Pelodiscus sinensis: one gene and its partners. The protein of the gene in region 2 interacts with the protein of the main gene of each other region in a biochemical or structural test. Links are inferred from orthologs where the notes say so. Each region holds a gene or a part of one and is shown on either strand. Other genes may lie near its edges.

The links.
Region 1: the proteins of UBE2D1 (region 2) and UBE3C form a complex in vitro, tested with the Homo sapiens proteins (8 studies listed by BioGRID). The link is inferred for Pelodiscus sinensis from reciprocal best matches to the Homo sapiens genes UBE2D1 and UBE3C.
Region 3: the proteins of UBE2D1 (region 2) and NEDD4L form a complex in vitro, tested with the Homo sapiens proteins (7 studies listed by BioGRID). The link is inferred for Pelodiscus sinensis from reciprocal best matches to the Homo sapiens genes UBE2D1 and NEDD4L.
Region 4: the proteins of UBE2D1 (region 2) and SIAH2 form a complex in vitro, tested with the Homo sapiens proteins (3 studies listed by BioGRID). The link is inferred for Pelodiscus sinensis from reciprocal best matches to the Homo sapiens genes UBE2D1 and SIAH2.

What each region holds. Positions count from the first base shown.
Region 1 is NC_134712.1:240,091,792-240,099,480, reverse strand, and holds the start of UBE3C (ubiquitin-protein ligase E3C), read left to right. Parts: upstream 1-4,648; 5' UTR 4,649-5,025; coding exon 5,026-5,091; intron 5,092-7,689. UniProt on the Homo sapiens protein: E3 ubiquitin-protein ligase that specifically catalyzes 'Lys-29'- and 'Lys-48'-linked polyubiquitin chains.
Region 2 is NC_134718.1:33,639,674-33,647,063, forward strand, and holds the start of UBE2D1 (ubiquitin-conjugating enzyme E2 D1), read right to left. Parts: upstream 3,217-7,390; 5' UTR 3,053-3,216; coding exon 3,029-3,052; intron 1-3,028.
Region 3 is NC_134716.1:110,161,470-110,169,588, reverse strand, and holds the start of NEDD4L (E3 ubiquitin-protein ligase NEDD4-like), read left to right. Parts: upstream 1-5,042; 5' UTR 5,043-6,874; coding exon 6,875-8,044; intron 8,045-8,119. UniProt on the Homo sapiens protein: E3 ubiquitin-protein ligase that mediates the polyubiquitination of lysine and cysteine residues on target proteins and is thereby implicated in the regulation of various signaling pathways including autophagy, innate immunity or DNA repair.
Region 4 is NC_134720.1:26,656,428-26,664,193, forward strand, and holds the start of SIAH2 (E3 ubiquitin-protein ligase SIAH2), read right to left. Parts: upstream 3,021-7,766; 5' UTR 1,993-3,020; coding exon 1,588-1,992; intron 1-1,587. UniProt on the Homo sapiens protein: E3 ubiquitin-protein ligase that mediates ubiquitination and subsequent proteasomal degradation of target proteins.

The DNA of each region.
Region 1 (7,689 bases), on a different chromosome or scaffold from region 2:
CAATTTTTTGGTCACATCTGAGTTTTCATCTGGGTGACTGGAGTAGCTTCTGTGATTAGTGATTCTACATTATCAAACGCTGTTTACAGTCTTTGCGAAAGTCATAATTAATTCTGTTACTGTAAAATGATTTTGCTTGGTGTGAAGGTGACTTTAACCTGTAAATTAGATGTTTATCTATGCATAGGAGATTTTCATATTCCTGTTTTTTTTATGTGTCTTCGTATACAATAACCATATCAGGCTCAGCTGTAAACTACCTCTTTGTCCAGTTTTAGATTCACCTTTAAAGGCTTTTTTGTGATAATAAACTTTTAATTCTAGTTGTTTAATAGACTTTACATCTAATCAGGCAATCGCCCCATGTTTATATTCATAATAATGCACCTGTTATTAGAGGAATTTAATAATGGGAACATATTCAAGACTTTGAAATAAGGCTATAAGGACCATAATAAATAACACCCCCAAACAGCTGCTACATAATATTCATTGCAAAATATATAAAATTAAAACTTTATAACCAATAGCCTTTGGCAAATTAATGTACTATGTATTACTACGTTTTAAAAGAACCCCTTTATAAAAATGAAGCAAAGATTTGAAAGTGGTGCAAGTAAGACATGGCGAAAGCAAAAGTGAAACGGCAGTTAAGAGTTTAATGCCAATAGCATAATTTCTTGTAGAAAAGACTCCTCAATCATTAGACAAACTATACTGACAATGGTGATAGAAATGTAGCCGTGTTAGTCTGGGGTAGCTGAAGCAAAATGCAGGACAATGTAGCACTTTAAAGACTAACAAGATGGTTTATTAGATGAGCTTTCGTGGGCCAGACCCACTTCCTCAGATCAAATAGTGGAAGAAAGTAGTCACAACCATATATACCAAAGGATACAATTAAAAAAATGAACAAATATGAAAAGGACAAATCACATTGCAGAACAGGAAGGGGATGCGGGGGGGGGGGGGGGGGGGAAGGAAGGAAGGTAAGTGTCTGTGAATTGATGATATTAGAGGTAGGGAGAGCGGGATGTTTGTGAGTTAATGGTATTAGAGGTGATAATTGGGGAAACTATCTTGGTAATCGGTGAGATAGTTCAAGTGTTTGTTGAGTCCTTTTTGGAAAGTGTCGAATTTTAACATGAATGACAGTTCAGAGGATTCCCTTTCAAGTGCAGATGTAAAAGGTCTTTGTAGCAGAATGCAGGTGGTTAAGTCATTGAGAGAGTGTCCTTTCTGGTTAAAATGGCAAGAAACTGTTTTTTCTTTGTGATCTTGTCTGATATCTGTTTTGTGGGCATTAATCCTTTGGCGAAGTGTCTGAGATGTTTGTCCAATGTACATAGCAGACGGACACTTTCGGCACATGATAGCATAGATTATATTTCTGGATGCGCAGGAATATGTGTTCTTGATCTTATAACTCACTTGGTTAGGTCCAATAATGGTATCAGCAGAATGAATATGTGGACAAAGCTGGCAACGGGGTTTGTTGCAAGGGAAGGTACCAGGGTTGGTATTAGTGTGGTATGTCCTGTGGTGGTTGGTAAGAATCATCTTGAGGTTAGGTGGTTGTCTATAGGAGACTATGGGTCTGTCTCCCAGAGCCTCTTTGAGTATGGTATCCTGTTCCAGTATAGGCTGTAGTTTATTGATAATGTGTTGGACAGGTTTAAGTTGGGGGTTGTAGGTGCCATTTTAACCAGAAAGGACACTCTCTCAATGACTTAACCACCTGCATTCTGCTACAAAGACCTTTTACATCTGCACTTGAAAGGGAATCCTCTGAACTGTCATTCATGTTAAAATTCGACACTTTCCAAAAAGGACTCAACAAACACTTGAACTATCTCACCCATTACCAAGATAGTTTCCCCAATTATCACCTCTAATACCATTAACTCACAAACATCCCACTCTCCCTACCTCTAATATCATCAATTCACAGACACTTACCTTCCTTCCTTCCCTCCCCTCCCCTGCATCCCCTTCCTGTTCTGCAATGTGATTTGTCCTTTTCATATTTGTTCATTTTTTTAATTGTATCCTTTGGTATATATGGTTGTGACTACTTTCTTCCACTATTTGATCTGAGGAAGTGGGTCTGGCCCACGAAAGCTCATCATCTAATATACTGACAATGACACTTCCAGTTCTGATGATGAAAACTTTGTACCCACAAATGACAATTCAATGCCGCTACCTCAAAATGAGTAAATAATAACTCAAAATGAGTAAATGGTAGCGAGAGATGCAGAATCTGCGTCGATTTAGAGACTGTACAGGCAGAAAATGAGAACCTTGGAGATGTTATGAAGCAAAAGCAAGAACTTATGACTAGCACAGGACATAGTATAACAACAGCGGCATCAGAACCTGATATTGGACTTCTTGCATTTTTGCTCAAATGCAGTCATTTCTCTAAGTTAATTGTTTTCAGATTCCAAGTTGTATACCGAAAGATGCTGAAAATCATGCTTTTCCCACTCATTTGCTGACAAAAACTCTTCCGAAGGGAGATGATACAGAAAATGATAAATAGAAAAAACTCCTTGAGCTGGTTTTGAATGTCATTCTTTTTCTTTCTGAATGGGGATTGGCTTTGTTTGATTCCAGTCATTGTATGGGTAACCCTACAAACGGAAACTTACTTGGTCTACTTGAGATTCTTAGCAAATATGACCCACTTTTATCAGGCCATGTTATGCGTGTTCGTGAATCACAAGAGAGCGGAAAATGCATGCAAGTCCATTTTCTGTCTACTAGAATACAAAATGAGTTTATTAAGCTGTGTGGAACATTTGTGCAAACAACAATTCTTGAAGAAATATGACATGCGAAATACTTTTAAATTATTATTGATGCAACTCCAAACTGTTTTTATAAAGAACAGATGACCTTGGTTGTTCAATTTGTTAAAACTTCAGAAAGTTCAAAGGTTTCAATTGAAGAACAATTCATTTTGTTTGATAATTTCACAAAAAAACTGGAAAATAAATCGCTGCTCATGTATTAGAAATTCTGGAAGGCTTCAAATTCCATTTTCAAGTCTGCATTGGCCAAGACTATGACAATGGATCCAATATGACTGGGAAGTACAATGGAGGACAAGCAGTCCTTCTTGAGCAAAATCCAAACTGAATTTTCTCCAGTTGTGGCAACCACGCACTAAATCTTATCGGCATTGATTGCTCTGAATCATGCAAGGAAGCAATCACATACTTTGGAACAATCCAACAGTTTTACAACCTCTTCCAGTAGCAGTCCTCAAAATTGGGAAATTCTAAAGCAGATTGAATCTTTTACTCTCACAGAACAGGCTTGCACTGAGTTTATGTCAGCAGAGAAGTATATATCCAAATCTGAATGCATTTTAATGTCATCCATATGGATGAAGCTGCTACAAATGATCCATGAAACTAATCTTGTAATTGAAGCACGCAATGCTACATTAGATGTTGAGAGGGATAGCACTGAATGACTTCTTACAGATATTCAAGAGATTTGTGATCAATGGAATGCAATCCTTTGAGTCCAAATCAGTAGCATGGGATATTGACATTTCATCTGAGTTTTCCACCAATCACACCCTAACATCTCAATTTGATGCATAAAGGCACTATTGAGTCATTTTTTTTTTATTATTGACTCCATCAAATCTGGTCTTACACGTCTATTTGAGTCACTACTACAAATTTGTACCTTTTTTAGATTCCTTTGGGAGTTCAGAGAACTAAGTGATGAAGATCTATATTCAGCAGCAGAGCAGTCTCAAGAAATGTACAATGAAATGTCAAGAAAGCTCTGACACAAGACCGTCTTCCTGAAACATATACATTCCGCTTACTTTAAATCAGACTGCAAGCCAAAAACTGCTTCCAGAAATATTCGATCTTGGCCTGTCGACTGTATTTCTTAGTATCACAATTGCATTACCTATTTTTGTCAGTCTTCCTGCATCAATGGCTGAATGCACAGTCAACATGTTAAAACAAGTGAAGAACTATGGTTCTACAATGGGACAAGAGCATTTGAGTGGGCTCGCCATGCTTAACATAAAAGGTGAGGTTGCACATACATTAGATTTTTCTTCAAATATAAACAAGTGTGCACCCAACAAAGCCAGAAAAAGCATTGCTAAAATGAAGAGTTTTGCTGGCAGTGGAAACTCACACTTAAAGTTACATTTTTAATATACATGGTCTTGTTAATAAACACGTCTCAAGTGTTCGTTTTCATATAGTCTTTGGGTTTTAGTGTAGTCCCCTTAGTATGACCCTGTGGATGAGAAGTTAGGTCAGGGCGCTGGGCAGGCGCCGCTGAACTCAAAGTGGCCCAGCCCTCTGTCGTTCTCTGAGCGGGCCTGCCTACAGCGCTGCTGTGCTGAAGGGGCAAAGGGCTCGGCGGGGTGGATTTGAGGCCAGGAAGGGCCCTGCTTAGAGCACAGGCTCCTTCACGGTGCTCATCCCCGCTCCCGGGCCGTGGCCACGGCTGGCGGGTGCCGAGGGGCTGCGCCACCGACGCGGGGCGGCACGGCCACCAGCGCCCTGAGGCTGGGCCTCTGACGAGCTCCAGGGGGCCGGGCGCGCGCTGCAGGCAGCCCGCGCGCGTTCCGGGCGGCTGCGGCGGGGCCGCGCGCCGATTGGCTGGGACGCGGGAACGCGCAGAGGGAGCTGGTCGGCGGCCATCTTCTCTCCGGAGCCGGCTGATTCGTAGTGCAAGTGAAGCAGCCGCGCCAGCCCCCTCCCCCCGCCCGGAGCAGTAGCTGGTGGTCCGAGAGGGGGGGCTTAGGGAAGCGAGGGAGCGAGTGGGTGTGTGTGTGGGGAGAGCAGCCCCTCCCGGCCGGGGGTCGCCCGGCGATCGCCGCAGGAGGCAGCAGCGAAGGTGGCACTGGGGTGGCCGGGCTGGTGCCTCCCCTGGGCGGGCAGCGGCTGCCCATTCCCCAGCCCCGCTCGCGGCCCCGGTGCAGCGTCAGCCTGGGAGGCAGCGGGGACGCCGCTCTCGATGGGATAAGCTGTAACCATGTTCAGCTTCGAAGGGGATTTCAAAACCAGGCCCAAGGTGTCTCTTGGAGGAGCAAGTAGGAAGGTAAGAGCCGCGCTGGGTCTCTCTGAATTCTGTATCCTGGCTGATGTCCCTCGCCTGCCTGCTTTGCTTTTTGCGCCCCGCTGCTGGGCCTTCAAATGGAGCAGGTGTGACTCAGGGCTCCTCGGGGCCAACAAAACCTGTCCCCACTCCCAGAGAGGGTGTGTTTTTGTGTTTTAAATCAGGCCACGCACCCCTCAAAGCTCCAGGTGCATTCACAAGTATGCGAGAGAAATTACACTACTCCTCTTTGACTCCCCCTCCTCCGCCCCTCCAAGTGATCCGGTTTGTTGTGGGAACCACGCTTGGAGCAGATAGTTTCTAGGGCGCTTTGAGTGAAGGGAAATAGTTAAGAATGTCTGTCGTGTCTTTTAAAGAAAAGACTTAATTGAAACACACAACAAAAATCATGCGCCAATCATGGGGGACGGAAATGCTTGTAAAACTTAATGGAAGCTCCAGGGGCCTCCATCACAAATGGTTTAGGGTTGTCAGGTCCCGATTTTACCCCTTTCACCACCGAGTTTGCATTCAAATGGCAAACTGAAATCAGTGTGTCATGTGCTGAGTAAGGAGCAGTCAGTAGATGATGTTGTTTTACTAGAGTATTGCCTAAAAGGACGTTAAATGGTTTAGTTAAGGCTTGCTGGTTGGAAAGACTATAAGTAACTTTTGTCAGCCACAGAATTCTCAGACCAAATTCCAAAACAAAGTTTTTGGAAGCAGTTTGATTGATGAGGTGTGCATCCCTGGTTAATCAGTTAGATTCAAGTTCTGACTGTCATGATCATTATAATGGGGTTAGCTGTTTGAGCGTTGGTGTAGTGTATTTGTTTTATTGTTCAACAAATAAAGATTTGGGAAAGTGTTTGTTGTTTTGGGACTCCAGGTTTGGCAGTAAGCTTTTAAGTCTCTCCTAATAAGAGAAACTTGTTACCTGATAGAAAAGTTCACTGTGAATTTACTATCACAGTATTGTCTGCTGCATATTTTCATAAAGAAAATGTACATCATAACTGTATTAAGTGTGTGTAACTATTCACTTGAATTATGGAGAAACTACCTTCTTTTGACATCTCTGATGACTAAAAGCCATTTATGGTCATTAGACCACATACATGACATTATGTTTTTTGTATGCCAAAAGTAGAATAAATCTTAATAGGTAATAGTGGTAATTGGCAGAGCATGCCCTGCTCTTCAGGAATGTATTTTAGGTATTTTACATCCCTTGGCATCGCATTATGATTGCTAAAAGAATTTTTCCTGCTCCAGAAAGAGAAAAAAGTATATAATCTTCTAATACTGTTATTATTTTCTCTAGTTTATGCAAATTGCAATTGGATTTTTAATCATGGTGGATTAGAATAATATTGTTCTCATATATTCTAAATTAACACACACAAAGTTTAAATTCCTATATGGGTAAATTTGCCAGGATAAATGTTCAAAAATTAAGGAAATGTGAAAGCCGAGATTGAGTATACAACTCTGTCCCATACCCACACCACTTCTGCAATCTGATCTAGATGGGTGGGTGTAATTGACTTAAGTAGCTCCACTTTTGTGCAAGTATCTGACCTTATAGATCTATTTAGTGCTTGTGTTATCAGTGGGTCTAATCAAGTAAAGTTACTCACAGTTTTCAATATGAATATGGGCACCATAGGAGGCTCTAATATAGATGCGTGTTTTTAAAAAAGTACAGGATTTGGTGAAGTTAATATTAAAATTTGTCATGTCACATGAAAAATATAGATTATCACACTTTCTGCATAACATGACATGCTATAGTAGATATATTAGTTTGGCAAATATTTTCATGGAGTTTAGGAATTGTGCATTTTGCTATTTTTTCTGATACTACGTAATAGATTTTTGTGGGTAATTTCCCCAATACTAATGGGTTCCAGCTGTACAAAATCCAAAATCAGTTTCTTGTCTCAACTCTTTCTGAAAATTTGAACTATTCTTTGGCATAAACTATCCCATCCCCAAGTACTTTAAAAAAAAAATCAGTTAAAAGCTCTAATCCTGCAAAAGTTAGTACCCAGGCAGCCTGGCACCAGTGCAGAGCTCCATTGAAGTCCAGCCAAGCTGTGTATGGGTGCATGATTGATACAATTGCAGGATTTGAGCTCAAATAAATGGTACTGTTTATGTATACAGACTGTCTAGTTTTAAAATTAAGATGTTCAAGGGATATTTTGCTGGTATAGTTATGTTGGTACAGGAGGCCCCAGACTTGCGACCGCCTGAGTTCTGACCCCTGCACTTACAACCATTTTTGCAAGTGTGGAAGGGGCTGGAACCGCCCAACTTACGTCTTTGGCCCACATTTACGATGGCACATGGTGCCTATTGTAAATGAGGATCAAGTTACGACACCCCCGTCTTGCAGTGCTTCCCCCAGAACCAATTGCGTTGCAAGTTGGGGGCCTCCTGTATAGCCAAAGTAGCAAAACACTTGTAGTCTAGGTTCATAAACTATACTAGCATAGTCACGTGCATCTGATGAAGTGGTTTTGATCCATGAAAGCTTATGCCAAATAAATCTGTTAGTCTTTAAGATGCCACAGGATTCCTCATTGTTTTTACAGA
Region 2 (7,390 bases):
CAACAGTAAGTTTGATCAATCTCTGATATTAATGACAAATTAAAGATTCAGATATCTACACACATCCCATTTCCTTGATTGTCAGGGCCTAAAGCTAGGAAAACTGAAAGGGTTTTCCTCCTGCAACTCCTTCCCCTTAAACAAACCAAAAATACCATACATTTTTGCTTATTTTGCTGACATAAAAATCATGCCTTAACCCATCTTTTCTAGGTACAGAATTCCTATCAGATGTCCAGGTTGTACCTTTCAAGTGATAAAGTTGCCAGAGAGAAACATGCTCTGCAGGAAGATCACAACAAGATACCCTGAATTTGAGATGTAAAAATGTATAAAATTAGTAAACATGTAACCAATCAGAAGTCTATTGATTACACGGTTAAATGGGTTATCTAGGAATGTAAGGATAGGGAGGGAAGACTCCCAGGCTATGGGCCGCTGGCCTTGCAGATCCCTCCCAGAATTCAACTGTTAACAGGAATTGACACACTGATGCTTATCAGTTAAACTCTCATATCCCCACCCTAGCTGATAATTAGGAACATCTGTGTTAGTAGCAGATGCATTTCCATTGCAACAGTTTCAGACCTAAGGTGGCATGTAAATGGTGTATTATTCATTATTATAATTTGTATTATCAAATTGCCTAGGAGTCTCAGTCATGGACCAGGACCCCATTGTGAAAGGCACTGTACAAAGGAGCATAATCAAAAAAGACTGTAAAATCTTTGGGGGCAAGACAATCAAAGTTCTGGTCTATGCTTAAAAGTTAGGTCAATATAACTGTAGTGCTCACAGGTGTGAAAAATTCTGTCACTCAAGAGAGTTGGAGATCTTACATTGATGGAAAAAAACCCTTCCATTGCTCTAAGAAGCATCTACACTACAATGCTACACAACAAAGCAATGCACGGTAAACTGTGCTACTGTCATAACTGTAACCTGGACACAAGCTACATAAGATAGGCCCTTACTTCGACTACCAGCCCTTGGACAAAGTATGCAACATTAGGGAGGAAATGATCAACTAAAGTAAAATACAATCTGCTTTACTGAGCAGACCCAATGCGATAGAAAAGCAAACAGATTTAGGAGAGCAATTGTTAGCAATCAGGGGAACAAGATGAATTAAACCAAAGTCTCTCTGACATTAACACAAAACACTGATCCCGTTGAGAAGCAACATGATCTTCTGGCGGTTAAGTGTTGAGAAACATGAACTCTCAAATTCTAATCTCAGCTCCTCCACTGATCTGCTATGGAACCTACCAATAACTGGCCAGACCAGAATTAATGCAGTTTTGGAAGTGGCATTGAACACAGTTTTTCTTTGATTACATATCAACTCAACTACATTCAGCATCAGTCTAGTTTTATTTCTATTGTTGACACTTGCTGTCAGTATCACACAGTATTTCCCTTATATAGCCTAGGATGTGAAAATATAACCGTGTAAATGGTTAACTGATAAACCTGGGCTCATTGGTTAACATTCACTGTTACATAACAAAGTGGGTCTTTGCCCACAAAAGCTTATGCTCCAATACATCTATTAGTCTTTAAAGCGCTACAGGACTCTGTCGCTGTTACATGCAGGTTCCCATCCTGCTCCTGGGGAGCCAACTGCTTTCTTGCGAGTCGGCTTTTAAGAGGCAGCAGTGCAGAGGCAGCTGCTGGATCCCATCCACAGCCCCACTCCCAGGGTGTGTCTAGACTACATAGCTCCATCGACAAAGCCATGTAAAGTAGTTTACTCAATAGTCAATGAAGCAGGGATTTAAACAATCCCCATTTCATTAAAATAAAAATGGCCACCGCGCGGTGATAAAGTGAAACGAGGCATACCAGAGCAATCAACAAAGGCTTCCCTTGTCCACCGCGCCATGTCTAGACTGCCATGTTGTGCCGGATCAGCTGATTGTCAGCACAGCGTGGTGGCCATTTTTATTTTAATGACGCGGGGATTATTTAAATCCCTGCTTCATTGACTATATCGAGTAAACTACTTCACATGGCTTCATCAACGGAGCTATTTAGTCTAGATACAACCCCAGAGAGCCAGCTGCTGCCTCTTAAAAGCCTACTCCCAGTGCACACCACCTCCCAAGGAACCACCTGACTCCCCAGGAGTGGGATGGGAACCCACATGTAACCGTGAATATTAACCAATGAGTCCAGGCTTATTGGTTAACTGTTTACATGGTTATACTTTCTAGTCGCTAGCCAATACAAGAGGAATACTGTGTAGTACTGAAGGCAGATGTCAGTATCAGAGGCAGCAATACAAGGTGGTAGCTGGCTCCCCAAGGAGCTGAGTGGCAGGCAAGAGCCAGTGCATGCCCCATACACGGTTACTTGCAACTGCAGTAACTGCTGAGATTTTCAGCTGTTAAATGTTTATCCAATTACCTTCTTTTTAACATCCCTAGTATAGGCAAGCCTCCTCTTGGTGCCTCAGTTTCTCCCACTGTAAGGTAACTGCAACTCTGCCCACCTCACTTGGGCCTTGTGAAGGTTAGTGTATGCACAAGGTTATACTTTATCCAGACTGTTATGCAGCTGCACAGCACCATTCCGACAGGGTTCTACAGGCAATCCTCCTCCAACCCACAGACTGGCACTCCTTTTCCACGGGGTAAGAGGAACAAAGAACAGTCTCCCAGAAGCAACAAACCATCAATATCCCCATTGGTATGAGCAAAGACACGAGAACCTCATTACTCCGAGGAGGAGAAACACAGCCAAGATTTCACACCCACTGCTCTACCCTCCGACACCGGCACCACAAAGTTCTCGCTGCCCATTGAGCCTCTCTTCCCCTGCAATCCCCCTCTCCCCTGCCATCAGCTTCCCTTCTAGTGGGGCCTCCCTTCCCCCAGCGCCCCTCTGCCTGCACGTCTCCTCTCCCCCGGCCGCTCCCGAGCCCCCCGGCCGCACAGCTCCTTCCTCAGCGGCCTCCCCCGGCCGCGCTCCCCCCGGGGACCCCAGGCCCGGCTCCCCCGGCAGGGCCCGGCGCGGCCGCTCTTACTTTCTGTATCCGCTTCAGCGCCATGGCGGAGACACGCTCCGGCTCGGGGCTCTGCGAGGCGGCGGCGGGCGGCTGCTCCCCGGCTGGGTGCGCGCAGTCGCTCCGGGCGGGGGCCGGGCTCTCGCAGGGCGTCAGGGGCCGAGGCCGGATCCGCTTGGCTCTCACTCGCTGGCTCTTTTGTTTCCGCTTTTACTTATAGACAGAGCCCGGAGCCCGCTGCATGCTGGGAAATGCAGTCCCGGGCGGGAGGAGGCGCAGCGCCCCCTGCAGTCAGGCCGCGGAGCCAGCAGGCCTAGGGAGCCAGCTGACTGCCCGAAGGCAGAAGTGGCAATTGCTGGCTGCTGCAAGACGCTACAGCAGGGCTACTCAACTTTGGAGGCCACAGGGACAACGTTGGAAGCCCCTCAAGCTACATGCTGAGGGCCACAACTTCAGTGTGGTTGCATGCATATTCAAATATATGCAAATAGTTTCTTTCACACTGACAGGCATCAATACAAAGACTAAGGCAAGATTACAGAACACACAGGCCCATTTAAGTCAGTTCTGCTGATATTAATAAAATGCAATATTTACTCGATTTCCACCCATATGACAGCACTTTTAGGGTACATCTACACTGCACTGTTATTCTGGAATAACAGCTGTTATTCCAGAAAAACAATACTAACATCCACACATCAACTGGGTTATTTTGAAAGAAAATCAAAATAAAGGAAGGCTTTTTCTGACGTTGGCAAACCTCATTCCATGAGGAATAAGGCATCTTCCAAAAAAGCTCTTTCAGAAGAGGGTTTATGTGGATGCTTCAGTGCTGCTATGTCGAAATAACTCCTCACCAGGGCCATTCTAAGTTTTTCCTCCCCAGTGCCTTCTGGGGCTCTAAACTGAGACAGCGCATCCACATTAGGGGAGCCTGCCTGCCTTGGCCTAATTTGGAGGCTTCCCTGTAGTATGGACACTTTATTTCAAAATAAGCTATTCTGGAAGATATTTTCTATAATAGCTTTTTTCTGAAATAAGCTTGCAATGTAGACATACCCTTAATGAGCAATGACAGTCTAGGAATTTAACTACTAAAATGCATATCAACAGAAGACCATTTATTGACTTGCCATTGTGGAGCATGTTCCCAGTGGATGCCATGTTCAAAGGATCCCACCCATGGGCTGCGTGATGAGCCCTGTGTAAACCCAAACCGCACTGCAGGCCACATGTTGAGTAGCCCTGCCCTTCAGCCTGAGATCAGAGGTTAATGAAAGTAACTTAATATTTCTTACAGGTACTGTCATGTGGCATTCCCTTGGGGAGGGGTGTGATCAAGCTAGGAGGTTGCGATACAATGGTATCTGAATGAAATGTAAGTGTAGAGGTGGAGTGCAGAGAGCTCAGGGCAGAGTTTCTGATATAGGAGACTCAGACAAAGCCTCCTGCTGCTTCCATTGGCCAGATTCCAGCCAATGGGAGCAGCGGGGAAAGCCTCCAGGAAGCATGTCCATGCTCTGATGTTCCCGCAGCCAGGGAAAGGAAAGCGCAATGCACGCAGCTGCTTCTGGCTCTGCTTCTTCCCCACGAGCTTGATCTGGCAGGGAGGCTTCGGGCTTTCTTTCCCCCTCCTCCTGCAGGAAGATGGCACTGGAGATTCAGTCTTGCGGTGGGGAGGGGGGAACATGAGGTTGGAGTTGCCAGCGTGAACTCTCTGCTGTGAGGAGGAGGGGCTGAGCTCCAGCAGCAAAAGAGCCTTATGTGGCTCCCTACTGAGCAATATTTGGCTAAGGAGGAGGTTGCCAACCTCTGGTTTACAAGGTTGGGGGTGGTTGAGGAAGGGCTCAGAGCAGGGGGTTGTGGTTGTGGTGGGTGAAGGAGTCAGGGTTGTGGGTGTAAGAAGGGGCTCAGGACAGGTGAGGTATGTATGTGCAGGGGTATTGCGGGGGTCGGAGGAGACATAAGCCAGTCCCTTTAATCTGCCTAGCTGACTGCTGCTTAGTGTGGCAGCCTACAGGAGAGCCCCAGGATCTAGTCTAGTAGTCAAGTGCCCCAGCCCACCATCTCCTTCATAACGGAGCAGGGCATAGAAATGCATCATCTTAACTACCTCTGCCTGGGATTAAAGCAAGGGGTAAATTCAAAAGTAGAGATACCTCTACTCCATGATCATTTCTCCACCATAAATAGATATGTGAAAGGATGCAAAGGGCATATAACCTTAAACCCATGGTCACCAACCCGTCAATCGCAATCAACTGGTTGATCCCGGAGGCTTGACCTGTTGATCGCGAGGCTTTGGGGTCCCCCCTCGCTATCACCCTACCCCCAAGATGCAGGCCACACTGATGCTACTTCCAGGGACCATGGAGGTAGCGCGGGCTTCCTGCGGGGTTGGGGGGCAGTTCTTCAGTTGCGCACCAGGTCCTGGAAGTGCTGCTCTCCCCACTGCCCCAACAGCCGACGTGGTACCTAAAATACAAGTCCATCGTGCGCTGGGGACTTTGTTCCCCTGGTGCCTTCCTGCGCATGGGGGAGGGGGTGGGAATCCAGGACTGCGCTGGCTCCGGCTGCTCAGGCGGTGTGCGCTGCTGTGCAGAGCAGGGGAGCAAGGTGTGTGCTGCCCAAGGAGTTGGGGCTGGCGCAGTCTGGGACTCCCCCTCTCCCCATGAAGAAAGTCATCAGGTGTGCAATGGACCAGCGTGTCAGGTACCGCACCGCTGTTTGGGAGATGGGGGAACAACCTGCGCACTTTCTGGGCCTTGGCATGCAGCTGCAGGATCCTCAGGTATCGGTCCCTGTCCCCTCCTTCTCACCCAGACCCGCACGAATACCCTGCCCCAGCACCCACAAGCACCCTGTCCCCTGCACCAGTACCCATTGGTACCCTTCCCCAGAACCCTGTCCCAGCACCCACAAGCACCCTGTCCTCTACCCCAGCACCCATTGGCATCCTGCCCCAGAACCCACTGGAACCCTGTCCCCTGCCCCAGCACCCATTAACATCCTGCCCTGGCACCCTGTCCCAGCACCCACAAGCACCCTGCCCCAGAACGCTGTCCCGGTACCCACAAATACAGTTGGGGCCACATTAGTGAGGTTTGAGGGGTTTGGAGGGGTTGTGTTTTTGTATCTCATTGTATGGTCCTGACTGACTTTTCTGTGGGCCAGTGACCCCTGACTCAAAACAGGTTACCCACCCTTCTCATAAATAAAGACAATGCTGAAACCTTTTGTGTTTGACATAATATTTTATTTAAAAATGAAGCCTGGCCAACAAGCCCCCAGTTGGGGCCAAGTCCTCATTTGGCCACAGCATCATAACACTCCTGTACCCCCCACCCGACTCCAAATCTGAGCCTATCATACACTGGAACCTCCTGTCCTGAGCGCCTCACATTCCCAAACTCCTGCACCTCCACATCCTCAATCTTCTGCCACAACACTCTTGCACCATACACACACTGCAAATCTGTGTCCTGAGCCCATCATACTCCTAGCCTCTCTGCCCTGAGTCCTCAACCCTAACTCCTGCACCCTCACATCCACAAGCTTGTGGCTTGCTCAGCACCCCAACTCTCCACCTGAGCCAGCACTCCCCAGCCTGGAGCCCCCTTTCTGAGCCAACATCCCCTTCTCCACATCCTCCTGCATCCAAATTCCGTCCCAAAGCTTGCACCTCTCACTCTTTCCCATACCTAAATCCCTCATGCACACCCTAGAACCTGCACTTCCTGTCTCAACACAGTGAGGGTATGGCTAGACTGCAGGAGTTTTTCCGGAAAACACGCTCTTTTGGCAGCCCCTGTATTCCTCGTTCCACAAAGAATGAGGGGGTTTCCAAAAGAAGGGGGTTTTCCGACATTTGGCCCAGTCTAGATAGGTCAAATGTTGGAAAAATTTCTTCTTTCTTTTTTTTACTGCCGAAAAAAAGCGACAGTGTAGCCGTAACCTGGGAGTGTAAAAGGGTCATGGATAGCAAGTGATGGAGAGAAGGGGAACAGAGAGGGCTGGGCCTCAAGGAAAGGGGAGGGGTTTGGGGAAGGGACGGGGTAGATCTTGGCTTGTCCTGACATTTAAAAAGTTATCTTGGGTGTAGAAAGGTTGGTGACCACTGCCTTAAACCTTATCATGCTCCCACCAAACATATTGGGTACTTAAGTTGCATTTTTTCCCTGTCTTCTTAATTATGGAACTTTACTCAAAAATTCCAAATGGACCTCCCAGATGTTCCAGTGGCAATATTTCAGAAGTGTCCTTTTTGTAGACATAACTAAACAAGACTATAGCCATGCAACGACCAAGCTGCATTGATTTTAACACTGCCACAATATGAACCTACCAAAGTAGCAATGCAAGCATACTGCTATTCTTTCA
Region 3 (8,119 bases), on a different chromosome or scaffold from region 2:
GGAGTTACTTATCTTCTGTCCAAATGTAGTTTTTATTGGAATAGATTAGGTAAAATTTCAACAGTTTAAATGTATTCTTTAGAACAGCTGTTTCAGAACAGGGATGGGCAGTGAATATTGTTAAAATGGTCGTATCCATTCAAAATTCATTTTAGATGTAGTCTATTATGCTGATTTGGTAATTTACAACAGAATATTTGTTTATTTAATTTGGGGAGATTGTAAATACTTTAAAATCTCAATTCCACTGAAATAGCTTTTTACACCGTGAAATCTAGTAGATTTTTCTCCCTAAAATAGTCTGTCCAGAGGTACCTATTTTGAGTCCTCTAATATAATACACAAGGAACTTCTTTTGAGTACTGCAGAATCTCTAGGCATCCAGAAATATAATTTATGCTATCATGTGCCGAAAGTGTCCGTCTGCTTTGTACATTGGACAAACGTCTCAGACACTTCGCCCAAGGATCAATGCCCACAAAACAGATATTAGACAGGATCACAAAGAAAAAACAGTTTCTTGCCATTTCAACCAGAAAGGACACTGTCTCAATGACTTAATTACCTGCATCCTGCTGCAGAAGCCTTTTTAAACTGCACTTGAAAGGGAATCCTCTGAACTGTCATTCATGCTGAAATTCCACACTCTACGCGTCGGTCTCAACAAAGACGCTAACTATCTTACCCATTACAAAGATAGCTTCCCCAATTATCACCTCTTAATACCATTAGCTCACAGACATTTACCTTCCTCCCTTTACCCCCCGCATCCCCCTCCTGTTCTGAAATTTGATTTGTCCTTTTCATATGTGTTCATTTTTTTAATTGTATCCTTTGGTATATATGGTTGTGACTATTTTCTTCCACTATTTGATCTGAGGAAGTGGGTCTGGCCCACGAAAGCTCATCATCTAATAAACCATCTTGTTAGTCTTTAAAGTGCTACATAGTTCTGTATTTTGTTTCAGCTACACCAGACTAACACGGCTACATTTCTATCACTAGGAATTGTCTTGGCACTAAACTCAGTATGACGGGCCCCAGCTTTTTCCATTTCAGTCACAACAAGATGCAATGTGTGCAAGCTTTTCATTGGTAGAACATTCATCTGGTCATGTTACATGTAAACACATTAAGCTTGGCATTCTTATGTAGATGGTTAGTGATTCTTAGGATACCCTGTTAAAGATTCCAGAAAAAAAGTCTTAGAAACAAGCGGCACACTAAAATGTTTGGGCATTGTTAGAACCACATGTTACCAGTTGTATGGTTAGTATTTATTCCCAGTTAACCTACTTTGCTAAATGTAATGTTGAGTACACATCAGTAACTTACCAAATGGTTCTAGTTACCAAACACCCAACGCCTAGGAAATACTGTGTTTAAAAATTAACTTCAAAGGAATCCAAATATCAGGGCACCCAAACAACCTTAACTCTGGAGGGGAAGAAGACATTTTCGGCTCTGTTTTCACTGATTTTTTTTTTTAAAAAAGTGGTTTCTACCACAAGGTAAAGGTAAAGTCAATACTATTCTCCCCTTCACAGCCCTGTGACTTGACCTGACCTAATTTACCTTGTGGTGTCTTGTCTCTGCTATGTATTTACTGCATGCAATCCCTTGGAGGGACAGCACTGAAGTTTTCAACACAAGATAAACTAGGTGAGGTCAGTCGCAGGGTAGTGAGGAAGAGGAGATTGTTGACCTCATCTACTTTGCCTCCGTGTGCAAACTATAATTGCCTAGACTCCACGTAGAGTTTTGCAATCAGACACCTATCACGTCTTAGTTAACTCACCGCCAATAAGACAACAACTTTGTGTCAATATAGGCAAAGCTTTACAGCCGGTCTATGCTACCACTTACGTCAATTTAACCTGTGCCACTCGGGGTATTAAAAAGATCCCGCCCTGTGTGTGATGTAAGTTTAAGTCACCTAAGCACTGTCCAAGTGTTGCTGCTGGCACTGTGTCAGTGGGAGATGTTCTCCCACTGACATAGCTTCCACCTCTCACAGGGGGGGAATATTTATGCTAACCAGAGAGCACTCTCCCAGCAGCATAGTTTCTTCATTGGATGCCCTACAGCTGCATCAGTGCAACACTTCTAGTGTAGACCTGCCCTTAAATAACCTTCATACCTTTCTAGCAGTTCCAGCTCATTAATGTCTATAAACACCAGCATGCTTTCCTTTAGTCAATTTAAACCTTTGTGCAGCTACGTGCTATCCCCAGCAAAATAAGTGCTTTTGGCTCTCTGCTGTTTCAGATATTATTCAGCAATAACTCAGAACTGATTCCACACTGGACAGGTGGAAAACTCCATTTTTATACAGTGTTGAGTTGCAGAGCAGTTTGGAAGGCACAGCTCATGCAATTGAGTGCTCTTCTTTTGGTGTGCATTCAGGATTTGCAGCAAATTGGATATGTGCTACACATTTACCGTATTCATGGAATCTGTTGATATTTTTCATGGTCGCCTTATACTTCTTCCTGGAATGAAGACATAGTCAGACCATGAGAACTCTTGTTACTTAGAACATGTAAACGGAACCCTGCAGTGCTATAAAAACTCATGAAAATCCTACCCAGAAAGACACATACTAGTACTTGTGTGTACTCCTCTACTGGAGGGATCACACTCTTTGTGCTAGTTCAGTTTGGGATTTCCCTCTGTCAATAAACCCACATAAGTGTCTGCCTATTAAGGAATATATTCTCTGTGTTGCCTCAAATAGAGGACTGGGCTTAGCCACCTGTCTTACACTTTCCTGAAAAGTATACGAACCTGGATTAACTACCATAGAAACCTGCCTTTATTCGATGGTGGCCTTGTTGCCTCCTTGACATTCATTGTTTTGAGGGGATTCATGTAATTCAGCATCTGTCTGTGGAAACAATATCCTGAAGGTGTACTCATTTCTCAGTATGATTTCTCATCTCATCCACAGTGTTTCTCAAGTGTCATTTGTAAAATGGGTAGGAACAGTGGCAGACTGGGTGTAGGCAGAGGGTGAAAAATAGAGGTGCTGCATAATTCTAAGTAGTATGTTTAGAATCAATAAAAAGGAGACTATTCTTTTAAAAATTCTAGTTCCTGTATCACACTTCAGCTCTGAAATTTCAATACCAAGAAAGACCCTATAACCCAGCAGTCTGACACCTTGGTCACCAGTAGAGATGTAAAATCCTATTTAATTGGTTAACCTGGTTAAACATATTGTTTAACTGGTTAACCAAATTAAGAGGGGGTGGCAGGGCAGCTCCTGTCTAGCTGGAGTGCCCACCATGCCTGCTGCTGGGTTGGAGCAGCCCTCACCTCACCCTCCCCACTGCAGGCTCCTCTGGAAATCACATGTCAGGCTGGAGCAGCCCCTGGGTGAAGGCTACCTGCTGTGGACAGAGGCAGCCCCTGTCTGCTGTGGGCTTGCCATTGTGGGGCTAGAGCAACTCCCTGTCTGTGGCAGGCAGGAAGCTGCTCCAGCCCCCTCTGATTAACTAGTTTAACATTCACATGCTACTCACCAAGAGCCATCAACCACAGATTCTGATTCTGTCAGGTTGGGTCTCTTGGTGAGTGACCTCCATAAAACATCTTTCTGTTGGGAGCTTTCTCAAGGAACAGGGATGTAGAATAAGAGGTGCTCTATTAATAACTAAGTAAAAACATAGTATTGAAAACCAGAATATTTCTAGTTATAGATTTAGAATTTTAAATGGGTATTTACACAGTAGGTAAAGTTAAGTTATATTCAAGGCCTGTCAACCCGCATTTAGCAAACTACTGTACCCATCAATGGTTTATGTTGTGAAGGAAATGAGCATGAAGTAACACTTTTTTTTTTTTTATAGGTAAACCCAACTAATCATAGACTCCTGTTTGAAGTGTTTGATGAAAACAGATTGGTGAGTGTACTACTCTAGTCCCAGTTGTGTGTATTTTACTAATCACTCAACTAAACTTGGAAGTAACATAGCTCCTGAATCTTAGTTTTTGGAAAATTGGTATACCTTAAATAAAACGTATTTTTTGTTTCAGTGGTTTAAATATGTAAAATAAGTAAGGTAAAGTGAGGTATATAAAGCAGGAAACGTAGGTATTTTACAAGCTGAATATTTATAGCACTCCTCTTGAAACAAAATTATGCAGCTGAGATATTTAGGGAAGGGATACTGTAATTACTGCTTTATTTGTTATTTTTGTACGGTTAACTAGATGGCTAGGCAAAAATATGGTTTGATTTTAGGTATAGTTGATGTAAGGCATCAATGTAATTGTAATTTATGAAAGTAGTTTGAAGAAAGTTTTTAAAAGCAGTATTAATGGAATAGTGACCCACTAGCACTATATTTATTAACAGTATTATAACAAGATGTGGTGCTATATCACAAAATATTTGATTCTTTTAGATTATATAAAGTGCAGTATGTGTCTACCAAACTTGCTTAATATACTGGGACAAAATATGCCATATATATATATGATAGATTGACTATCTTTTTGTCAACTTTCTTTTCTTTCAGTTCCATCAAAGCAAATATTTATGTAATGCAAGGAAAAAGATAGAAACTTTTTTAGGTAACCTTTTTTCAGGGGGGAGAATATAGAGGTTCTCTCATCTAATGATGTGAGGAAATAGATTATTCCATTTCAACCCCCATTAAATGCCTCTAAGCACACTGATCATTTCAGTGCCTTCATATGGATTTATTATTCTATTTCAGAATTACAGGCCTCCACTTGTAGGGAATCTTGAATAACTCTTTCTAGTTTTAAGTTTCTTTTCCTCTTTTCAGGCCAGCTGGCAGAGTGGGACGTCAAAAAATTTGAATAAGTTATATGTGAACCAGCAGAGGGTAGTAGTGTGCACAAGCAAGCTAGTATGTGACAATACAGTGGTGGTTGTTAAAAAGACATTTTTCAACCATTACCACACAATGACATCTGAGAAGTGGTAATTGCCTTTATATCTCATACTAACGTGTAGATTGAGGGAGTATTGAACTGAGTACTCTAAGACTATTTTCTGTAGCATGACTATATTTTTAGGGGCCAAAACAGTTAATTTGTGTGTCTTTTTTTTAATTCCAAGCATAAATACAAATGTAAGCTTACAATTACTAAGATTTGCCCCCAGAATAATTTCTTACGAGTTCATCTTGTTCCTAAACCATCAGTGAGTTGTTAGATTGCAGTAGGTTTGTCACACTAGACTAGACTGTGGTTGCAAGTTGCGTATTTAGTAAAAAAGGGTACTTGTTTATTTAAATAGCCCAGAACCATGCTGTTTTTTGAAAAGTGTATTAAAATAATACTAACACCTGTGCTTGCATGAAGCAATCTACAGTGCTGTTACTGTAGCAAATACCCATGTTTTTCTTGTCGTTGGCTCATAGTCCAGTTAAAACAATAGAGGATTGTACTGGCCCTTGGCAGTTTTATTGTTTAAATCAGCTTTTATTTCTCTTGTACTTGGTTGTTTTTTGTATTTGAAAACAAGCTATTGTAAAACAGTGGTTTTAGGTATCTAGCAGTAGTATTGACCCAACACGTACAAGGGTAGAACTGTTGAAAAAACTGGGGTTTTTTTAACCGTTCATAGGAGCCAAGTTGCCACTCTTTTAATTGAGGTTATTTCAATTGTGTCTCTTCTGTAGATAAACTTTTTGTTTAAACAGATTTTGTTTCTGATTCATGCAAAAATCTTCTAGAACTTCAGTGCACCTCAGTTATGACAACCCCTTTTTAAAGGTTGAGATTCTGCATTGTGGCAGGGCTGAATCGGGATGTTTATTTAAATTTTTGGTTGTATCCCATATGTTCTTCTTTTAAGCTCTTTTGGCTCTTTGCAAGCATAGCTATCCTCCGTGCTGGCAATCAGACTTGTGGTAATATTGCAGACTCTCTCATTGGAAGGCTGCCAACACTGGGCAGCATTTCTGTATGGCACTTAAGTAAAATAATTCCAAAATGATATGCACACCCTTCTTCAGTTTTCGTTCGTCTTTGCTTCCTGATAAAACTGGGGGAAAAAAACAACCATCCTGTCTCTTGCCATCTTGTTCATTTCTGTTGCTGTCATTGTGTGAGAAATAGTTGGCATATGTAAGAATTCTTTGTTCAAATTTCTGTATGCAGTATAAATAGGTTATGCTGCATTTATAGTGATAAGGTAAAAGTTATGGATTTTTCTGTAGTGAATAATTTGTTACTTAATCTTTTAAAGAACCAGAAAAAAAACCCTAGAGCATAACCAGGGACTAATATTTATTTGTGTTCTACCATGGTAGCCTAATGTTGAAGCATCAAAACAGAGGAAGCCTGAATCTGTCATCTCAAGCCAGCTCACTTCTTCTCAATCTGCATTTGTGAAGCTGACTTGAACTATCAACACTTAAAGTGCTTTTGTTGCAGTGAAGTTTTTGTACGAAAGTGCCCTGTGAATGTGATGTGGCTGAGATTTATAGCAGTGCCGAGTGTGCTTGCTGCCTTAGTCAGCTGTGAGAGCTCTCCCGCGGGGGCAGCTCTTTTCTGATGGAAAAGGAGCAGCTGTGAAGGTGCTGTTTCAGGCTCTTACTGGTATTTAAAAAAAAAAAAAAAAACTAGCTTGCAGTGGAGAGGGGGAACCAAGTCATGTGATTTCAACCATCCTACCCTATGTCACTGTGTGTAGGAGTGCTGATTGCTCTTATCCAATCATGCCTGGAATGCTGCTTGCCACTTGGGCTATTTCTGCTATCTGTCGCTATCAGTGCTGCAGTACTAACAGTTTGGCAGATGGGACACTTTTTCTTGGAGTTTGTCTTTGTTTTCTAACTTCTGGCAGTGCCTGAATTGTTGCTGTTCTCCCTCTCTTTCTTCTCTCTGTTAAACCATGGCCCATCGGCTGCGGTTTCATTTTGGCTCTGGACGAAGCAACACAGCCCCTGAATCTGAGATCCTAGACCGAGAGAGAGAAGATGACTTTTTCATGGCATTCCACACTTTGCCAAGAAGAAACAGTCCCCATCCTTTCTCCCGACATGGAGCGGATTATGGTGGCGGTGATTTGCAAGGAGTGGGCTCCTTGAAAAGAAGTACATCCATGTTTATTCCTCAGCTTCTGAACAATATTGATGTGCGTCCAACAAGGAGCTCCTCTATGCAGATCTCTCTTCAGCGCAAAGCTGTGAACGGCTGTGCTGATGAGTGCGGAGCCCCAGAGTCTCCTGAGGAGATGCTGCCATGTAAATTCACAGACTCCAGGGAGCATTACACATGCCCAGTTGACAGCCCTTCTTCTTCTCCAAGCAGTCCACAAGGAACCCCAGAGAATTCTCCACCCAGGATGCCTGAAGAGATTCAGGAACAGCTTAATGGAGCTGTTTCCTGTAACCACAGAATATTTTGTACAGTTCCTTCCAATAACTGGAATGATGGGGCAACGACTGCCCTAGAAGACGAAGCAAGCGAAGCAGCTTCAGGGTTAAATCTAAGTGGCGTAAGAATTCAACATCGCGCTTCATGCACAGACATGCGTCAGGTTACGCTATTGCCCTTTGGTTCTGAGGATCAGAATAACTCCCCAGCCTCTGAACCCAGGCGCTGGTCCTTGCAGCACCTGCCAGATGTGTCAGCAAATTCAGGGAAAAAGTTATTTGTTTTCCAGTTGCAGCAATCGCAGGCAAGTGGTACAGGTACAGGAAGTGACTATAATTTTGGTTTTACTGGAACAAAAGGGAATAGATTGGTCAGATATCCTCGTATACGGCTGGAAAGGAGTACTTCCTACCCTGTACAGCCACGACCAGAACGAATTAGCCCAGTAGAAGACAGAATGAATTCAGAACTGCATGGAAATAGCAGAAATGGGTCAGAAATATCTAGAAGTAATTCAGTAGAAAGGATTCCTCAAGGGCAGGGATGCTTGTTTAAAATCAGACCAGATCAAAACACAAGGCAGCAACACTTCAGAATTCTTGTAACCCGTGGTACTGAAGAACAAAATCAAATGACTGATGAAGAGAGCCCTGATATCCCTGGGCCTACAGCCGCCAGTGCCACGGTAAGTAACATGCTGAAAATACTTCCCTTTGTGTTCTAATAAAATATAAATGGCCACACAGAAAACTTTTTCCAA
Region 4 (7,766 bases), on a different chromosome or scaffold from region 2:
ATTATGGCCTCCTGTCACTTTTTTTCAAACAGAAGGAAAATATTTTCACTCTAAGCACCAATTCCAGTCAAGCCTCTCAATTTAAGACAAAGGAGTACAACAGCCCATTCCACTTATTATGTTTCATTCCCTATTGCCCCACTTCTTCAAGTAGGTGTGAGTGATAATATGAATTCTTAAGCTTGTGTGGAGTCAAACTGCAGGATCTGGGCTTGTTTGTAAATATCAAAGTTCTGCTAGGGGTAGCAAGAATCTGTATAATCCACCTTGTATGCTTATTTCCGTAAGGACATATTTTAAGATAATTCACACAATCTACTTTAAATCAACAACCACAACAAAGGAAATCAAAGCTCTTGAATTCAGATTAAGCTTTTCTAAATATTCTTTGTAGTTTATTGGGGTGGGAGAAGTAATCAACACTTCATTTAAAAAGGCACTCTCAATTTGAAATCTAACCTGTTATAAACAGCAGATTCTGATACTTTATCTGTTCCTGATTCCCTTAGTCTATCACATTTCCTATTATTTAAATATATGTTTTCTGCCCTTAATTATTATGAGAGAGACACCCACCCAAACTACACAGACCATGCCAGGGAAAAGATGTGAAATTGATTAAATACCAAGTAATTGGTACAAAGTAAGCAGACTGAAAATGGAAGGACAGATTTATTTTCTTTAATCTGATGGAATTATAATAGTGTTCTAAATAACAGACAGAACACATTTAGTTATCATGACTTTTAAAATATATTGTGTCCCTCTTAGTCATCAAATTAAATTGCAAGCATGAAGAATAATGCATTAAGATGGTCTAAACACTTTGCAATGTGAAAAACGATCTATTCAAGAATCTAAGTGATATTACTTTTAACAATTAGATGTTTATGTAACATTTTAATAGTTGATTGTTTTAAAAGCCTTAATGGTGTAGTTACACATAATACCACTGTGTACCGGCAGGGCTATCACACAGGATTAAGACAAGACAGCGGCACTTAATTTGTAAACAAGAGTCAAGCTGTGGGTATCTTTAAGACAAAGAGCAGGATATATATTCTTTGTACTCTTAATACTCTTGGGGAAAGGAACTGTGCTCCCAGCAGGAGGCCAAATGTCTGCTGACAGGGCTGGGAGTAGAAGCCCCCGCCCGTGTTTCTGCTGGAAAGGGGTGATCAGCTGTTACTGGGGTTACTTGGGCACATATTGCTGTGGGAGCGAAAGGGGGCAGGGAATTGTTTAGAAGCCATATATATAACTAGGACACGAGCCTCCCTCTGGTATGGCTGGAAGGTGCAGAATGTTCCTGTTGACTGGAATCTGGAAAGGAGAAGCAAAACTTTCACAATCCGGCCCTCTGCAAAATTCTGCGATTCGTTGAGAGGGCAGGTCCCCATCTCAGTAGTGACCCAGAGGGAAAGGGCTCCCTATGGCAGCTCTTAGAGGAGCCTTTGCTTTGTGGCTCTACAGAAATGACAGCAGCATTCCGGTCCGGGGATGAATAAGGCACAAGGACTAGCTCCATCCAGTCACCCCCCGGACCGTGTCGGCCGGAGCAGAAAGGGACTTGGAAGAGCCTCTTACCTTGCAGGGGAAGAGGACAGCTGAAGCCACTTTCTCCATGGCCAGGTTCCTGATGCTTGGGGTCAGGGATCCCCTGCACGTGGGGCAGCAGCTCAGTTTCTGCCGGCATTGATTGCACACCAGATGCCCGGCCTGGCACTGCAGGATCGGGGGCAGCACATAGTCGAAGCAGACGGGACACTCGAACAACGAGGTCAGCTCGTGGTGCTGAGGCGAGACCGGCCCGCCGCCGCCGCCTCCTCCGGGGCCTGAGATCACAGCGGCCGCAGCGGGGAGCGCGGAGGAGCCGGGGCCGGCAGCCGAGATGGTGGCGGCGGCAGCAGGGGCAGCAGCGGGGGACGGGGCGTGCTGCTGCTTGCCGCAGGGTTTGTTAGCGCTGGGTCCGGCGGAGGACGGGCGGCTCATCGCGGTCCGAGCCAACCATGGAACTGCGGGCACCCGGGTGGCCACTCACCGAACCCCGCAGGCGGGACCCGCGCAACGAACCGGCTCCGCTCTCAACAGCGGGCCGCCGCCAGCAGCCGACCGGGCGCCGCGAACGTTCCAAAGTGTATCGGCGTTCCAGAGAGATGTCCCGGCGTTCCGAGGGGCGCTCCGGCCACCAGCCCGACAGGGGCCCCGGCAGCCGCCGCGTTTCCCGGGCCGAGCGCGCCACGCGCGGATCCTCAGCGCACAGTCTGCAACATTGATCTGACGCAAGCGAGAGAGGCAGGAAGAGGGTGTAGCGCCGAAGCCTGCTCCCCGGCGGGTTCTGCTCGCAGTGCCTGGCTCTTACTGAGCATGCCCCAGCCAGCTAGTACTGTCCCTAGTCTACTCTCGGATCAGCCCAGCCAAGGGAGAGGAGACACGGGGGTCTATTTGAAGACACGGGAGGGTGGGCGGGCTAGCCGCTGGGGAAGTGCGGTAGAGTAGCAGGAGCAGAGGAGGAAGGCATTTGCTGACACTCCACTGGGGGAGGCAGGCCTACACGCTGGCGACTCTGACGTATAAAAGCCCCTTTCCACTGCCCGGGGGTGGTGGGGTGAGGGCCGTCTCTGCGGGACTGCTAACATGGCTGGCGTAAGCCCGTGCGGGAAACGCTACAGACAGACCCAGCAAGCACCGAGTTTGCACCAAGGGAGCTGTGGTCTGTTACGCAGCCACCATCCTCACAGCACTTCGCGGGAATAAAAGGTGGTGAAGGTGCTGCCCCGCGGCGGCGGGTGAGGTTCACCGGGGGGACTAGTTGCGGCCCACGGTGGCAGGCTGAGCTACAGAGTTTTGGCACTGCACAATTGTGGTAGTTACTCCAAACACTGTCCTGGGCTGCGGGAGCGAGGATACACCGAGGCTGTGGGGGTGCACCTAGTCCAACAGTAGATATTTTACATGTCAAAAAAACCCCCAAACTGCACTTGATACACGAGCACTGTGTGTGCGTGAGAGATTGCTAAGGGCCGCACGTTGTGGGAGAGGAGACCTACCTCACTTATTTTTAGGTGAAATGCGGTTGTTTGCAATTCAGCACCTCCACTCGTGTGTGACTCATCAACTGGAGGCTTGATGTAAAATCCACCTCTTGCGGGAGTGCACACTGCATACGTAGGTGGAGGGGGTGGGTCGTGCTTCCCATGCACTCCTTGTTCTAAGAGATGATGACTGTGTGGCATATGGCTTTAGAGGACAAAGCCTACATCTGGCGGGGGTTAGACTGGATGACCTTTGCAGTCCCTTTCTAACCTTATCGTCCTGTTGGTTTTGTGACTCTGTCTGCTGGAATTGCAAGTATGTGTATAAAGAAAGGGTGTTGGGCACCCTGGTATATTTTAAACTTTTAAAATTAATCTCAAATCATGTTACACAAGTCTTCTATAATTAGCAATCACACTATATATTCTAACTTTAGGTGGACACATAACATAATCACTTCAAAAACTTCTTTGGCAGATTTTAAGAGAATGCAAAAGCCCTCTGAATTTTACAGGGTTTTTTTGTGGTTCACATCAGGGATGTGACTGTTTTGCAAACACTAAAGCATATACATAATTTTGACACTTAATACCTTCATTAAAGTTATGCACATGTTGCCTAAGAATTTGCAGAACAAGGGCAAAAACAAATGTAATTATCCAATGGTTCTTCCTTTGCTGAGGTGAAAGCTGGAGGACTGCTTGTTCTGTCCAACCAGCGAACATACAGTTGACTCTGACATTACTGAATCTGCATGACAGAAGACTGCCTAATTAAATTACCTATATTTTATTTGATTGAATCTTGTTTACACAGCATCCTTTCAGAGCATATCTCCTCTCATTACAATGTGATCAAAGGATTCTAAAGGAACATAATTCTTAAGTATCCCCTGGCCTATTGACTGTTGTTATCCTGGAATAGGGACATTAAATTTCATTTAATCATCTAATCATCTAAGTTGATGGATTTTGCATTGATTAGTCCAGGCCTACTCAACACACGGCCCACTTTTTTGCAGCCCACATTGTGATTTGCGTTTACACGGGGCTCAACATGCGGCCAGCAGGTGGGTGCCAAAACAAAAAAGTAGTCATTAGACTGGTCTTTTGTTGATATGTGTTTTAGTAGTTAAATTCCTGCACTGTCATTGCTCATTATAAGTGCTGTCATAGGGGTGGAAATTGGGTAAATATTGCATTGTATTAATATCAGTAGAACTAACTTAAATGGGGCCTGCATGTTATGTAGTCTTACCTTAATCTTTGTATTCATGCGGTCAGAGTGAAAGAAGCTATTTGCATATATTTGCATATATATTTGCATGTACATGCAACCACACTTAAGTTGCAGCCCTTGGCATGTGCTGTGAGTATCAATGTGGCACCCGGGGCTTCCAAAGTTGAGTAGCCCTGGACTAGTTGATTAGTTGATAAGTAGGAGAGCTGCAGTGGGGTTTGCTCCTGGCTTTTTAAATGTATTAAGAGCCCCACTACCCCCTGCCTTCCCTGCCCTGCCCTTACCCCCCCCCCCCCCGGAGATGGTACTGGGAGAACCAGCTTTTAAGCCAGCTCCCCCCAGCACTGGCTCCTGCTCCCCCACTGCCTCTGATACAGGCAGCAAAGGAGGGGGGAAGTAAATAGTGGAGGGGCTAGTCTACTATCTGATAAGCTTTTGCTTATCAGATAGTGGACTCTTACATCCCTATCCTGGAACTCTGCGTAAACACCTAAAAGCACTTGGCCACAGTAATACTGAAAAGAACAAAATGCATCCTTGGCGCTTTTTAGAAAATGACTTTTGCTGATGTTTTTGGATTGTCTCAGCATTTCCCTGTCTACAAGCCAAAGCTCTGATCCCATTATTTTGAGAGCTGCAAACTCCTGCATTTCCTCAGTATCAATTTAGCCATTGCAGCTTTACCTTATATTTTATACTCTCACCATGTAATGCATCAACTGATAATGAACAGGTCTCTTACAGTCCAGTTCTATAAGACAATAGTGCAGTCCCTGGCAGGATAGTGGAAGAGTAGGTTTATACACTCTGCAGTGCCATACCAGAATGAAAAACTGTAGTACTGCATTGCCTGTAGTATGGAACACTCTGTGACACCACTCAGAAAATAGAGTAGGCAGTGCGTTACTGTGATTTTGGTGCTTGAAATTAAATTGTTTCTATAAAATCCATTATCAGGAATGGATGCAGCAAAAAATGCCAGCATGTATAAATGAGTAAAAAATACAGCAAATGGGGATGTAACCCAAACTTCAGTGGGATTATTCATGTGTAAATATAAACAGGATTGTTACATTAGTGTTTGCAGTGTTGAGGCCTGTTTCATTAAATCTAAAATGAATTAATGACAACAAAGTGTTTTGTGATGATGCTGGAATGTTTTGTTATTTTGCTTTATATTTCATATTTTCCTATATACAGTAGTGCTTGAAAATCAGAAAGTGGAACTGATTTGATTGCTTTTATTGTCCAAGCTAAGTGGAGTTAGAAAATCAAATTTGACATTTTCAAAATCCCTTCTGATTACAGAAATGAGGAAACATTGGTTATGAGGAAAAAATAATCTTACAGCGTCTCTTTAAAATTTGAGTGAAATAGAGGATAAAAGAGGGAATGATTTTGATTATAAATTTCAGAGGGGTAGCTCAGTTAGTCTGTAACTGGAAAAACTTAAAAAACAACAAATAGTCTTGCAGCACTTTAAGAACACAACAGAGACTAGGGATACTATTCCTTACCCAACCTAGGTAATAACCTTCACAACCTCCTTAGGCAAGGAGTTCCACAGGCTGACTGTGCGCTATGTGAAGAAGAACTTCCTTTTATTTGTTTTAAACCTGCTGCCCATTAATTTCATTTGGTAGCCCCTAGTTCTTATATTATGAGAACAAGTAAATAACTTTTCTTTATTCCTCTTTTCCAAGCTGAGAAGTCCTAGTCTCCTCATATGGGACTTGTTTCAAACCCCTAATCATTTTAGTTGCCCTTCTCTGAATTTTTTCTAATGCCAGACTTTTCTAAAATAGTATTACAGCACCTTAAAAACTAACAAAACATGTAGATGATATCATACACCCTCATGGGCACTACCCACGACCGATGAAACTGAAGAAGTAGGTTGTACCCTTGAAAGCTCATGACACCATCTACCTGTTTTGTTAGTTTTTAAGGTGCTGCAAGACTATTTGCTGTTTTTTTTTTAAGTTTTTCCATTTGCTTATAGTTAGTAAAGAGTCAAACTTAAGGTTGGGTCTGCTTGTCTTTTTGTTTGATGACCATGTGTAAAGGTTATAAACAAGGCTGAACTACTTGCTGTGTACAAGTGCCCATGCTTATCGTAACCTTGCCTAAGGAGGTTGTGAAGGCTATTACCCAGGTTGGGTAAGGAATAGTATCCCTAGTCTCTGTTATGTTCTTAAAGTGCTGCAAGACTATTTGTTGTTTTTTAACCATCTGTTAGTCTTGAAGGAGTGGTAGAACTTGTGTGCCTTTCCTTGTCAGCAGAATGAGTGAATTGTGCTTACACACATTAGTTTCCAAAGAGGAGTTGTAACGTGTGTGTGTGTGTGTGTGTGTGTGTGTGTGTGTGTGTGTGTGTGTGTATTACCCTCATTTATTAAAAAAAAACCAAATTTGTACGTGTATTAAGTTTTGTGATGTTTAAATGCTTTTCTGTGAAATCATGCCTAGTTAGTTTATAAATTGAAAAGTCTGTGTTGTGACACTGCTGTAGCTGCAGACTATCAACCATGTAAAACCATAGAGCTGTGTCTAGACTGGCAAGTTTTTCCGCAAAATCATCTGCTTTTGCGGAAAAACTTGACAGCTGTTTACACTGGCCGCTTGAATTTCCGCAAAAGCACTGATGATCTCATGTAAGATTGTCAGTGCTTTTGCGGAAATACTATGCTGCTCCCGTTCGGGCAAAAGTCTTTTTCCGAAAAACTTTTGCGCAAAAGGGCCAGTGTAGACAGCAGAGATTTGTTTTCCACAAAAAAGCCCTGATTGGGAAAATGGCAATCGGGGCTTTTTTGCAGAAAAGCGTGTCTAGATTGGCCACAGACGCTTTTCCACAAAAAGTGCTTTTCCGCAAAAGCGTCCTGCCAATCTAGATGCTCTTTTCCGAAAATGCTTTTAACGGAAAACTTTTCCATTAAAAGCATTTCCGGAAAATCATGCCAGTGTAGACGTAGCCAAGATGTATAGAGCAACTTCTGTGCACACACAGCCAGTAACTCTGAAATGTTTTTAGCAGGCCTTGATAGTCAGGTGTGATACCTTAGGACTGCTAGGGCTAAAATTGAATTAAGCTATGAAACTTCAGCTACGTCAGTGGTGTAGCTTAAATCGAAATAGCTTTTTTAGGCTTTTGGAACTGTTTACACAGCAGGAAGTTGAAGGAAGAACAGCCTTCTTTCAACTTCCCTTAATCCTCATGAAATGAGGGTTACTGCGGTTGGAGTAAAAAGTCCTCTAGCTCAACATTATTCAGAAATAAAGGCTTGTTCTGTAGACCTACACTGTGTTATTTTGGAATAACGTCAGTTACTCCCAAGTAACTCTGCGGTGTAGATGTCCTCCTAGAGATGAATATGCCAATGGATTACACTAGGTAGGATTTTAGCATGTAATCACTAATAACTGTGAAGGAAAGTTTAGTGTTGTCATTTGTTGGCCATGTGTTTGTTCTCTTTGTGTGCTGTCTGGGCTCT